Linked DNA regions of Xenopus tropicalis. The protein of the gene in region 1 binds, or shares a complex with, the protein of each later gene. Links are inferred from orthologs where the notes say so. Each region holds a gene or a part of one and is shown on either strand. Other genes may lie near its edges.

Evidence for each region.
Region 2: the proteins of ptpn3 (region 1) and mapk12 are in contact, whole or in part, in a crystal structure (PDB 4QUM), measured with the Homo sapiens proteins. The link is inferred for Xenopus tropicalis from reciprocal best matches to the Homo sapiens genes PTPN3 and MAPK12. Residues at the interface, in NP_002820.3 of Homo sapiens: Arg655, Leu671, Asn674, Arg675, Tyr676, Lys677, Asp678, Val679, Arg751, His812, Ser843, Ala844, Gly845, Ile846, Gly847, Arg848, Met883, Gln886, Thr887; in NP_002960.2 of Homo sapiens: Met182, Thr183, Gly184, Tyr185, Val186, Val187, Arg189.

What each region holds. Positions count from the first base shown.
Region 1 is NC_030682.2:75,261,327-75,268,345, reverse strand, and holds part of ptpn3 (tyrosine-protein phosphatase non-receptor type 3), read right to left. Parts: intron 3,749-7,019; coding exon 3,565-3,748; intron 960-3,564; coding exon 882-959; intron 26-881; coding exon 1-25.
Region 2 is NC_030679.2:71,610,505-71,618,202, reverse strand, and holds the start of mapk12 (mitogen-activated protein kinase 12), read right to left. Parts: upstream 4,304-7,698; 5' UTR 3,937-4,303; coding exon 3,812-3,936; intron 3,278-3,811; exon of another isoform or gene 3,167-3,277; intron 1-3,166. UniProt on the Homo sapiens protein: Serine/threonine kinase which acts as an essential component of the MAP kinase signal transduction pathway.

The DNA.
Region 1 (7,019 bases):
GCTGCATTTTCTGATCAACTCCACCCTGTTGATATAGTCACATAGTAAAATAAGTTCCATTAGGTCCAGATGATAGCAAAAATCCCAAATTGATGCTATGTTCAACTTGCCTCAACTGGGAGGGGGGTTATTTCAGACTCCAGAAATGTAATTAGGCCAGTGTCTGAATCATCTTTGTCCTGCAAATTAATATTAGTAAATCTGGATTTGCTAATTGCTAAAAAGGTATCTAACCCACTTTTTAAGCTATTCATAACATAATGCTCTCTATAAAAAAAACTTATCAACTGGTCAATAAGGTCATCATATTCGGCCTTAAAGGGGTTGTTCAGTGTCACTGACCCCTCCCCAGCACAGGGTTTGTGCAGAAGTGAAGGCTGAGCAGAGGAATAATTCTAAGGTAAATATCTCTTCAGCTGCACATTTTTTGTTAGCTATCTATATGGAAATGATAGCTGTATTATTGTGAATTGTTAGATTTGCAAGTGCTGTATAAAGGTTAACAACCCCTTTAAGAGTCGCTTTTCCAATACAAACTATCACAACTTGGCCAGTCATTTTTTGTAACCAAGATCTTCTATACTCTTAATCAGTTCTTTATACACTTGCCCTCTCTTCTTGTGAATCCTCACTGCTTTTTCATACAGCACAAAAACCTACTGGCCCTTTCTGCATCTGTTTGGCATTGCTTGCTACTGTCAAAGTTTACAATTAACATTTAAAAATTACTTCTTTTTTTTTAATTAGCCCACTAGCAAACATTTTAATTGTTAAACAAAAGACCATACCTATATACTGTATTGTATAGGATTTGTTAATCTTATCTCTATATCATCTCTATTGAATGTTTTAATTTTATAATTATTTATAATTGTTATTACCTTTAGGTTAAATCCAAATTTTCCTTCTTCATCTGGTATAATATGAACCAACAACAAATCTCCATTTACAGTGTCACTCTACAATATACAAAATAATTTAACTGCAGATAAACCTAGCAGATATACTTCTTTCCACATACTGCTCTGTGATGTATTCTAGACTTATAAAATTCAGTATTACAAAAACCACCATCAAGCTGTCAAAATACAGGATACTTTTCACTTCTTGTCGTATTAGTCACGATAATATCGTATTGGTGATCCGAAAGTCAAAAATTTTGACTTAGTGTGGTCTAGACAGCTGTGGAAAAGCTAAGCTTAGGGCAAGGTCACACAAAGCGTAGATCCACTTTTCTCAGCCCCGCATCATTTCCGTCGGGCTGAGAGAAGGATGTATATGTCCAAGAACAAAGGAGAGTCAGGCAATCACTCTCCCACATACAAATTACAGAATATTTAGCCAGTCAAATGTATCATTGGCAGCCTACCAAAATAATACAAAGTATATGTATGTATTTGTTCACTGAATGTATTAAAAGTGTATGTATGTGTGTTTCAGGGCTTTATGTGTGAATATCTGAGTGTGAGAGTAAAGGTGGCCACACACGTGGCGATTTGCGAAAGATTGTTAAATCCGCCACTAACCTTCAGGGCTGAAACGGCAGATAAGGAGGTAGAAACAATAGGATTTCTCCCTCCTTCTGCCGATTCAGCCCTGACGGCAGATTTTGCTCAGGCGCCTTCTATGGCGCCTGATCAAAATCTTTTTACCTGGCCGATCGGCGAGTCGACGATATTAGCAGCCTTCTGCGATATCGGTCGACTCGCTGACTTGCCATAGACGCACCGAATATCGTACGAAGCGAGGTTTTGTACAATATTATCGGTGCGTGTATGGCCAGCTTAACTCCTGACTCTCCTTTGGTCTTGGATATACTGTATACATACACAGTGGGATACACCTCCCCCACCCTTATCCATAAAACATTCCATATGTTGCCTCCTTACATTCCAGGTTTAAGGAACAATGTTAACAGATGTGGATGGTCAAGTCAAGAGTGCAACCATAAAACAAATTTCATCTCAATACATGATTTTTACACCTGTTTGAGTTCCTGTTTTAAGTGAATGGAGAATTCTGCCCTGTAAGTCCTTGTAAGTAAGTCTTGTCCTGCTCTGTCCTTGTTCCCTCCAATCTGACTCCCCGGTTTTTAACGTGGCCCTTTATTCAACTTTACACGTCTTCTGCCCGTCATGACCTTTAGCTTGTTTAATGGACTCTGCATGTTATCCACCAGCCCTTGACCTTAGACCTGTTATTTGGATTCTGTTTGATTGCTGCCAGTCCTGATCTGTTGCCTGCATTGTTTATTCCTGCCTGTTCTGTTTTCAGTTTTTTGTTATTACATTTTATTTTAACCTGCAGTTCCTGTAGCAGTGTGTTAATTAGCACACAGGCTTCTTACAAACTAGCAACTCTGACAGAGGTTTATCTGTTATATAAACAGATGCTACAGGGCTGATTATTAAATTCTGCAAATTGCACAGGTTTCTGAGTTGCCATGTAATGAGAATCTGAATTAAGTACTATTCAGTTTTGTATTGTAACTTTTACATTCTATATATGCATTATATTGTGAGTTGGTCCCTATGCTCAGGTAACTGATAGCAGCAAAGAATATGTGCTGTGAAAAAGCAGAATGGTGACTTACTCTTTAGAGACACAGACCTCACGTCTGAAGGGCTGTGGTTGCCTTGGGCTGGTACACAATCTTAAACATGTGCAGCATTTCTAGCCTACTTCTGTCAAGCTTTGTTCCCCTCCCCTTTACATACATAATCATTTAAACCAGTGGTTCTTAACCTTTCTAATGCCGCGACCCTTTAATACAGTTCCTCATGTTGTGGTGAGCCCCAACCATGAAATTACTCTGCCATAGACAATACTCTGCCATAGACAATACTGAGAATTGTCTCTGCTAAAACACACCTAGAGACAATTATCAGATTTATCTACTTTGTAGCTGCAACAAGTAGCTGGCTGCAAGTAGCCTTGTGTGTAATTTCCCTTAAAGAAGATATATACAACCCTTTCTACAGGGGTCGCCTAAGGCCATCGGAAAACACATATTTAAAAAAGGTATATATCTTCTTTAAGGGAAATGACACACAAGGCTACTTGCAGCCAGCTACTTGTTGCAGCTACAAAGTAGACAATTCTGATAATTGTCTCTAGGTGTGTTTTAGCAGAGACAGTTCTCAGTATTGTCTATGGCAGAGTATTTTTTAGTGTTTTGTAGCTATGACAAGTAGCTCCATGTGTCATAGCCCTAATTGTTGAAATATTTATATTTTTCACAATTTTTTTTTTATATTTTATATTCTTGTTGTATATTATCTAGTTATATTCTTATTCTATATTCTTGCACTAAACAGAGCAAGATCTGAACTTGAAAGCAGTCGCATTCTACTTTAGTTTCAAACAACTACAATCAATACAAGTCTAATGAGAAGACCTCTTTATAATATGTGCTCTTTATCACAAAGCATAGAAACTGTGGAAAAAAAAAATTTCTATACGGAGTACTACAGTAAAATGTTAATGTGACAAAGTCCTATGCAAAACATACATCTATTCAAATAATTTTCAGTTCTCACTACATTTTTGCACTTTAATACATACATTATCACAGTAGTATTGGCTGGAGTCATCAGTTGAACTGCTTTTCTTGATATTATCATAAGTTTCAAAAAATTGCTTATCTACACCCTCTAGCAGGTGAGAAGACGTTGAATGGCTTGATAACCCACTGGGAGAAGCTGGTTGATGCAGATTGTTTTCTTTTGGACTGTGTTCCAGTATGTTTCTAAAAAATGCAAAATCAAAAGCATAATGTTACACATTAGTACTGCAATAAGAATACAAGAAATATGCAATAACTAACGTATTCTTACATTTAGGTTAAATAAAAATACAGCAAATAACAATGTTTTAATTATACTTACAATAAGGTTAATCTCAATTTAGTGTTTTTTTGTGTGATTTCAAGAAAATAATCAGAAAAATCTGAAAACAATACTTTGCTTTACCAGACTAACTTTTAGTACCTTTTTGGATTTTTATTTTCCTATTATAATGAAAAAACACAAATACAAGAGTATTGTAGAAATGATACCTATATTGGGTAACAATAAAAATACATTGCAGGCTTTCGAAACTCTAAGGCCCCTTCGTCAGGCAAATACAAATGAAAACTGGAATGGCAAAACATATATACTATTAGATCAGAGAGAAGTGTTCACGAGCAATAAATTAGGAAGTTACAGATAACTTGTGAAGATAATAATAAAAGTAATTAATGTTTATTAGGATGGGTTGTAAATATAGTCCAAGGGTCTGGATTCAGTCAGGTCACATAGTGTGACATGAAACCTGAACCAAATTAAGGCCCTGTCTTGTGTATGTTAAATAACTCCATACATTTGAATTCACTAAGCTTCCTTTCTCCTTCAGTTTCAAAGTTCCCTTTTAGAATTAAAACCTTAATGTCCTGAAGTCTGTGGAGTCTTGATTGCAGAAGTGTTGTCCCACTGGTGTACCACACGCTTTGGTCTTGATCTTATGTCTGTGATGATTCATCCTTGTGCGTAGTTTTTGCCCTGTTTCTCCAATGTGCATTCCTCCTGTAGGGCACTTAGTACATATGATCATGTACACCACATTGGAGGAAGCACATGAATAGCAGTACCGAATGATGTAGGTTTTTTGTGTATTTGGTATTGCAATTTGATCTTTGCACAGGATGTATTTGCAAGTTTTCTCAGAGCCTGGCTAAATACAATTGCATCAAATGTGATGTGGATGGAAACTGTCCTACCTAAGATATGCTAGACGGCCTCTTGGTTTTTGGTATAAGAATGTATGTATGATTCCATTTTTGATGTAGATGGTGGTATCCAGGAAATGGATTTGTGAAGAGGAATGGTTAAGGGTACGGTTAATTGTGGGATGAAATTGGTTGAATGTTTGGTGGAATGCCATCTAAGTAAATCATCTATATACCATAAATAGGTCAAAGGCCTGGTGTTGCAGGAAGCCAGGAAATTTTCTTCTAACTAGGCCATAAACTAGTTTGCATACTGAGGTGCCATTTTGATTCCCATAGCACTTCCCATCAGTTGGAGGTTTATGGCATCTCCCAAAGGAAAATAGTTGTGTGTTAGTATAAATCAGATTTGTTGTAGAGTGGGCATACAAGATTTTTCAAGGAAATATTGGCAGGCTGCAATACTATCTTCATGTTGGATGCTGGTATAAAGAGATTTAACATTCATGGTAGCTAGGCTGGTGCCCTCTGGAAGTGGACCTATGACAGCCAGTTTGTTTAAAAGATCAGTTGCATCCTGTATAAAACTGTGGGGGGGACAGGCTACTGATGACTTAGTTTAAGTTCCTTTGTATATTTATGAGTTGGATCCTGTTCTATTATTACCACAGCATGCCCTTTATCAGCTGGTTTAATTATCAAGTCTTTGTTGGTTTTCAAAGCCTGTATAGCATTTTTCTCCTAGATATTGATATTGTAAATCAACTTCAATTGCTTGGCCAGTATATTAGATATAACTCTGTTTCTGAAGCAATCAATGTATTGGCCCAGTTTCTGGTTTTGTCCTGGTTGTGGTGTCCAGTTGCTCTTCTTTTTTGTTTTGATTAAATGATTCTCCAGGTTGTCGTCTGGTGTTATATTCGGCCTATCATGGAAGAAGTCTTTGAGTCTTAATCTCCAGAAAAATCCTCCATGTCATTGCAGAGCTCTGTTTTATCAAGGCTTTTGGTAGGGCAGAATGTCAGTCCTTTTGAGAGTACTTTGAGTTCCACTGTACTAGGTTTATAGTAGAGGTTAATCACAGAGCAGTCAGTGTTGGAACGCATATTTTGTTTCCTAGGTGGGTCCATAGTCAAGCCTGCCTTTAGTTTCAGTCTGTCAAGTTTCTTTCTTTTGTTTTGGACCAGATATTGTAGACTTTTGTTATATTGTTGCAGTGCCTGTTTGATGCTGTCTGCAATCGGTCCATATAGTTTACCATTCAATAGATTAATTTCATCTTGAATGCTCTTCTTGTTACTGTAGGATATTTTGATAAGGTGATTTTGACGCATTTCTGCAGTTCTGAAGCATAATTTATGTGCAAAGTGGTTGTTGTAGGTATTCTGATTAGAATTTTTGAATTTGAGTCCTTTTCAATCAGGTTTTCTTTTTTGCACTTTGTTAAAAAGAAAATGTTGCTGTCCAGTTGAGCCAATTTCTTCAGGAGGGTTTTAAGTCTCATCTGTATGCAGTACATTGCAGTAACTTCCATTGTAATCACAAAACAAAAACTGTAGTACCGTGTTAGCCAGTGTTAAAAATAAAAAAACACAAATACAAGATGTATATTGGCTAACAATAAAAATACATTGCAAGCTTTCAACCAATTTCATCCCACGATTAACCATTCCTCTACTCACATCAATTTCCATAACACCATCTACATCAAAAATAGAATCAGAAAAACATGCCTATACCAAAAACCAAGAGGCCATCCAGGATATCTTAGGTGGGACAGTTTCCACATCACATTAAAAAATCAATTGTTTTGGGGCGTGGCCTGGATGTGCATGCAGGCGGACGTGAGATAAAGAGCTACTTGAATTGGTCTTAATCCAGCTTCACACAGAAATAAGACAGTTGGACCCCTCTCTTACCGCAGATATGTCATCCAAGGGTAATAAGAAGCATCCCCAAGCAGATTTAACATCTTTCCTGGCTAAGGCAACCCAGTCGAGCTCCAGGCCGGAACCAGGCGAACACGCAGTTTCGGAGACTGCTTCAGACACGGACGATACCCCTGCTACTGATACTGCTCCTATCATGGTGAGCATGCTAAAATCACTACTAAAGGATTTAAAAATATCTCTGCACTCAAATCTTAAGGAAGCTATACAGATATTACATACTGATGTTCATCAGATTGGATAAAGAGTCGATGCTTTAGAAAAACATGTGGATGTTATGTATAACTCACAGAACCAATACTCTGACTGCCTAGAATCGGTTAACAAGCAAATGTTAGCCATGAAAGATAAGCTGGCAGAGT
Region 2 (7,698 bases), on another chromosome or scaffold:
CTTCTGAGAGACACTGCAACTCTGAGAAGCTCTTTTTATACCCAATCATGTTGCCAATTGACCTAATTAGTGTTATTTGGTCTTCCAGCTCTTCGTTATGCTCATATTTACTTTTTCCAGCCTCTTATTGCTACTTGTCCCAACTTTTTTGGGATTTGTTGACACTATGAAATTCTGAATCAACATATTTTTCCCTTAAAATGGTACATTTTCTCAGTTTAAACTTTTGTTCCGTGATTTATGTTCTATTCTGAATAAAATATTAGAAGTTGGCACCTCCACATCATTGCGTTCAGTTTTTATTCACAATTTGTTTAGTGTCCCAACTTTTTTGGAATCCGGTTTGTACGTAAATGTAATGACACAAAGGCACCACCAATAGAAGGAACCATGTCCCAATCTAGAAAACAGAATATTTCAGCCATGTGCAGTAGTTACCTTTGTGTTTGTATTGCATCATGGAACATTAATGGCACTTTTCAGTCAATGGCAAAAAGTGTAGTGTTCTGTATTGTTTGGCCCCACCAGAAATGCAAGCTATTGCCATTTGGCTGGTCCAATGAATGGTTTCGAAGAGAATGCATTATTGGCGCTATTATACAGCCAAGGGCAATCTTACAAAGGCAACTATAATACCCATCACCATGCAACAGTTTTCAGCTCTTTGGAGATAGTGACAGCGGCATCTTAAAGGGGTAGTTCACCTTTAAGTTAACTTTAAGTGTGTTATAGAATGGCCAATCATTCTAATCAATTTTTCAATTGGTCTTTATACATTGATTTTTTTATAGTTTTTAAATTATTTGCCTTCTTTTTCTAACGCTTTGCCGATTTCTAATGGGGGTCACTGACCCCAGCAGCCAAAAAACTCTGTGAGGCTGCAGTTTTATTGTTATATTGTATATCTTAATTTTCTATTCTGGTCCTTCCCTATTCATATATCAGTCTCTCATTCAAACCACTCCCTGGTTGCTAAAGTAATTTGGACCATACCAACCAAATAGCTGCGGAAACTATAAACTAGAGAGCTGCTGAACAAAAAGTTCAATAACAAACAAACTACAAATAATAAAAAATGAACATCAGTTGCAAATTGCCTCAGAATATTACGCTCTACTGTCATACAAAAGTTAACTTATAGTTGAACAATCCCTTTAACAACAGCTGGAGAAGCACAGAAAACACAAGCACTGGCACTTGTCACGATGCCAAGCACGCATGCTGATTCTTGTGTAATCCTAATTGTACATCCCGGAAGATAAATTACTTGACCATATACAATTTGGCCTAATCAAGTTATCAGTAATAAGGAAACTGTATGCAGGGGGCAGATTTTTCCAAGAACCTATTTTGTTCTGGCTAACCCAATCTTACATAGTTACATAGGGTTGAAAAAAGACCATTGTCCATCAAGTTCAACCCATCCGAGCAAACCCAGCACACAACCCACACTAACCAATCTATACACTCACATACATAAACCATACACACAACCAGTAATACTAACTGTAGATATTAGTATCACAATAGCCTTGGATATTCTGCTTGTTCAAAAACTCATCCAGGCACCTCTTAAAGGCATTAACAGAGTCTGCCATTACCACATCACTAGGAAGGGCATTCCACAGCCTCACTGCCCTCAACGTGAAAAACCACCTACGCTGCTTCAAATGGAAGCTCCATTCCTCTAATCTAAAGGGGTGACCTCTGGTGCGTTGATTGTTTTTATGGGAAAAAAGAACATCCCCCAACTGCCTATAATCCCCTCTAATTTTGATTATTATATGATTTGAGGAGGGTATACGGCAGGGGGTCTGTTAGCCTTGCTGAAAAACACCCAAACTTGGTTAGCCATTTCCCAATAAGTGCAGCCTGTTTAACTAGGTACAGGATCCAGTCAACAAAATCTGTGGAAATAACCTAAAAATAAAAATCCTTTAAAGACATTACACATTAAAAGATACAGTTTAATAGGGGCAATGTCTGCCAGTTATTTTGAAGTAATAATGTCTCACAGACTGATCTATGCAGACCTTGAGCAGGCTAGAGTGGGTCATAAAAATCACTTGGAGACAGTGGGCCTCCAGTTGGTCTGTCCAGAGCTAGAAAATATGCATAGATATTTAGTAATAAGCCACTTGAAAGTGCCGTGTAATAAATAGCCATCATCCATTGCTGCTTTTTCCTTTACACTCTAGCTCTGCCAGAAGTTTCCCATTGACCTAAATGGGAAATTCCATAAAAATAATGGTGGTGTTAATTATGAACAGGCAGTGTAAAATAAAATTAAAGCCTTTATAAATGTGTCAGTTATTTTACACTGCTTTTTAAAGTGTTTTCAGAAGTAAATAAACAGTCCCTTTGTGTTGCTTTTTTATAGAATGCTAAATATGGTTCTAGCTGCCCAATTCTGTCAGCCAGGGGACATTTGAATGTTACCTGGACCTGACCCTGCTCGGTTGCAACAACAGTTTGGCTTGTTCTAAATATGTGAAATAATTAATTCTGTAAAAGCAGAAAATCAGTTTTTCAACAGACTTAAGCAAAGGGAAATTGTGAACAATACAGTACCTTATCCTTGGTAGCATTGCGGTGGCTGTAAAATGTTACAACTCTCTACATCTGCAGTAAGGGCATTAGTAACTGAACAAAGAGAACTACATTTTAGCTTTAAATTAATGTTTATGTACTAAATTATAAAGATAAAATACCCAGGGAACATACTATTTATTGCTAATCCCCACGGTTTTATAGACAATTACTCATTTCAAACATTTGATTAAACTACAAAATGCTCTATGATGATACTCTCACATAATTCAGTGCGACAGGGCTTAGATTGTAAATGGTATAGAGGCATATTTCATCTGCACCATTTTACAGTACTAAACCCGCATAAAACATGTAAAGTTTGTGGATATTTACCTTAGTGATATAGGAATCATGCAGGAATCATATAAACAAGGTAATATGCCTAGAATTCTCTATGCAGCAAGGAAATGTTATATAGCAAAAATGGAACACAAAGCTATGCCAAGTGCAACACAATACAACCATCTGGTGGCTCATAACCCTTTGGTAGTTGGTCAAGGGGTAGTGAGGTGAACATTTAAGACATGACAGACATGCAAATAAAACCCCAGAATTGTAAAAGGGATGTCTTTACCTGCATGTTCACTGCACAAATGTCACATGGGTGCCATAATCATGGGGTATAGCTATGGGTCTATACACACGGGGGTTTGTACCAGAGCCAGCAGCATTATTGAAATCATGTCTGAAAAGACAGAAAAACAGGGAACAATTTCCCTATGGAGCAATCTACACTGCCACTAGACAATTAGTGCCAAAAAATATAATTTACTTGTACTGAAATGCTCTATAGAAATGTGACCTATTTTTTAGCAATGCTGTGCATGTATAGAATACCCAGCTTGTACACAAGCTATTTTTGAGCTTGGCAATTTGTGTTTGTTCTTGTGTTTGTTCCATTTGCCAATAGAGACATAATACAGCATTTTAGGTCCAGCAAGCATTTTTGCAAGCTGAAGGCAATATAGCTGGCAGGTATAGAAACTTATGTAGAGTACTATGGCAATATCATTTGTTTGTGCCAGTTGAAATCGAATACACTGCATTATACAAAACCCTAACTCACAGTACTACAATGATATAGGACTCCAATGCAGTCTGCAGGGGCTGGCACACATATGGCTCCGCTCCTGTGATTCCTGGCACAGATTACACAAACCCACAGGTGTTGGTCCAATGAATGATAACTTTCATGAATATTTGGAGCATTGCAACTTACCAAACAGTGCCATAGGCTCCTGATCCCACAGCCACCAGGTCTCTGTACCTCTCCTTCACCTCCCAGACGGTCTTATTGACGTCCTGCCTATAGTATCCCTTCTTGGGCAACGGGGAGGTGGACATGGCTACTAGTTGCCAGCAGGCTCCTGTTGCACTAGTACTATGTGAATGTGGGTCCCAGGCAGAGTCACCTGACTGCTGATACTGGGCGGCTCTCCTGAGAGGTACAGTAATGTCACGGTGAGCAGTACTGACTTGTCCTGCTCTTATTCACCATGAGGGACCGGCTGCCTTCTTTACGTAGAACAGTCTCTTCCGACCAGCCCCTCTTTCTGCGTCTTCGCTCTTCGGTCAGCTCTCGCCTTCCACTTTCGTTTTCCTTTTGTCCACTGTGCGTATTTCCCGCACCCTCAGCCTGCACAGTAGCTGCCCAGTGACGGGAAGTATTTCCCATATAGAGCCCGGAGCTTTGTGCCGTCACGTGACCCGGCCAGTCCTTCTCCCCTCCCTTCTCCAGTGCGCAGATTAGTACTTAACCCACTCACTGCTCTAGTCCGACACAGTCCTAAAGTGATTTGGGAAGTTATGTGGCCGGGAATTCGCTCACACGTTCATACGTGTTATGACCCTTCGCTACAAGAAGACGATCTTTGCATTATTTTTCAATGTGAAGCTTTATGACCTCTCTTGGCATGAAGTGCCATTATTCAATTATTATTCAATAACCCACTGCTACTACTAGGCAGTTCAACCTAACAAATTCATTCTTCCCCAATGGGTTTTTATCAGACTCGGTTTACATTATTACTAATGCTTATTTGTAATTATTATTTGTTCGTCTGTGAAATTAGATTACACAGTTGTAATATCTCAATGTGGCTGTAGTCCCAGTGTACCAAATCTAGAACAGGCTTTTGTACCTGTAAATTTAAATTGCCATTATTAAAGGCCCCTGCTGAGCTCCAAATAATCTTGGGGCAAAAGAGCCAACTCAGCCTATTGTTATGCTCCTATAAATGCAACAGACTCTTTTGACACAATTACAAGCTATAAAAGGTCCCATTGTAATATTAAGTAAGGGTGTAGCTTAGTAGCTAAAAGGGTTGTGACCATAATGCTGGCAGCAGGGGCCTAAGGGGACACAAATAATATATTTTCCCATAGAATAACCAAAAATGCAGATTAAATGAGATATTTAGTAACGCCACATGCAAGGGTCAAGGAATATTGGTGAAGGGGTTGGATTAATACTTCCTGGTCAGCAGGGTAATTAAACCATAGCAACCAAATAACAGTCAAAACTCTAAGCCTGACAGCTGCAGAAGAAACTATAGGTTTTAATGACCTATCATTTCCCATTAGGGACCAGGCCCAGCCCCAAGGGAGCATGATATTCTTGGATGCTGTAGTGTAGTTTATACATTATATTCATGTGCAGCACCCTGAACAGACAGGTCCTGCATGCAACTTACACTATTTATATAGTGTTTGAGATGCAAGATTAAGCACGCCTAAACTCATGTGCGATTTGATTCAGCTTTATTTTGCCTGATTGTACCCGCCTGCATCAGGATCTGCATTTTAGCACAGCTGCGTTACAATGTATTTCCTTAAACACAACATGCTGCATTTTTATGCCTTTAACATGCCTTATAATTCAATCAAACAGTTGTCAAAAAATATGTTTTTATTTATTCAAGAAGTTGTGTGTTTATCAAGCTGGGTTCAAATGTGTTCTGTAAAGTTTAGAACTGACAACTCCTATGAATGAATAAGAATCTTCCTATATACTGTTCTTCTTCAGTGACTGCTATGAGATGGAGCATCTATTTTGCATCTAGAGGGTAATTACACACTAGTATAAATTCACAGAGCAAAGAAAATGGAGATACACATACCCACCAGGATTCCACAGTTTTTGCCCAGTGGGTTGTGAAATGGCACCTTTCACTGACTTTTATTGTATGATAAAATATCTAACCAATTCTGTTTTGCATATGTGTTTAAATTGCCCATGAAATTTAGACATTACAATGCCTTGAATGCTACTGCCTCCCCCAGCAATGGGTCTGTTGTCTCTATTATCAGGTGCCTGAATGTGAGCATGGTTTCTTTTTCAGTGAGGAGAAAAACAAATAAAAGTTAATGCTCTTTGCTTGGATCTGGCCAAGATGGGGGCAATGCATGGGCAGATTTAAGCTTCTGATTTAGGTAATTCAAACTGATTTGGCAGTTTATCTGCCTGTGTATGGCGCACTCTGATGGGCATTCCCAACAAGTATCTGGCAGACTTGATTTTCCATTGTATCAGGGACCACATTGGCTTATTGATGTGGTCCTCATTCCAATGGCTGCTATTCGCGGTACTGTAATTAGATCATTTGGACCTATATCCCGATATTGGGCTATATTGGGAGAAAGACCAGCTAATTTGGCAACCTCACCAAATAAGCAAATCTTATGGTGTATGGTTTTACCATCACTTTCTAACCAGTGGAATTTACAAACTAATTTAACTCTCAAAGACATACATATGCACAAAGCATACAATTCAATCAGGAGGGAACCTTTGATCATTGTCCAATGGAAAGATACCTTTGCAATTGCAGAAAACCTTCTCAAATACAGGCAGAGCAAAAGTTTTTTTTTGTTTTACAATCCAATCATCTTTACTACTCATTTACTCAGCCTAAGCGTACAAAATATTTATTCTGGGCAGCAGGTTCACTTTTATAGTCAGCATGGAGGCCATATGCAATGCCCACACTGCCAAAAAAACTACAATGTATTGCACAGAATGAGGTTGTGTTACATAAAGCAAGGCATATCCCAGCAGCATGAGTCCATGCAATGTGCATTCAAATTAGTTCTCTGTCCCTTCATAAAAATTTAGCCCCATGCACATTTCAATTAGGAAAACATTATTTCAGCCTGGGCTTAGCCTATAAAACCCAGTAAATGGTTCCTATGGGTTGTGTTGGCTTCCAGTGGAGCCCTGCAGAATGGCTTTTGCATAGATAAAGTGTGGTTGGAAACATAATAACTGGATGTTCTACAATGACCCTCTATAAAGCCTTTGCAGAACAAAATGCTACCCAATAACTCTTCACTGCATATTTGTGTCAGTACTCCAACATTTCCCACAAAGTGCTAGCTGAGTTAATGGCTGTGTCCAAGTCATTACATGACCAACACCAGGATAAACTCAGCGCTAATGCACATTGCATGAAAGCCTCATCTGATTTCCATGGTGATAGCCATGACCTTTTCTATGATTTGCCATTAATTACATTGTATATTCAAGTTTGATGTACTTTATTATTAGTTTCATTCAAACTTGTAGCACCACTTCAAATGAGCACTGTATTTAGCACAGACAAACTTATAAACGCATTATATTTTAAAGGGAAGTGTTTTAGTTACTTCACTTTTCTTTTAATGCAACATCAATGAAGATTAACCTGAACAGTTCATACCCTTTCTTATGTAAAGTTTCTTTTGTCTATTTCAGGCTGATAACCAATATATACATAAAAAAACATTAATGGAATATTACCTGCATATCATGCAGCCAAAGTTCATATGAAGTTTTGTTGTTGTGGGGAGTATAATGCAAGACTTATCATGAATGTAAGACTGACCTAAATACTGTTTGTAAATAATCTTATAATATTTTAGTCTGCTGCCACCTAATGGACAATTGTCTTTGAATGCTGCTGGGAGGTCATGGTTGTATTGTTTAGAGTTTATAAAGCCTGACATTACAACAATTTACTATAAAGACAGCACTACTAACATACAAGTTGCTCATAATTAACATCTATGGTATAATACCCAAAATGAATTTATGAAAGAAACCAACCCTTAAATTTACCATTCTTAAAA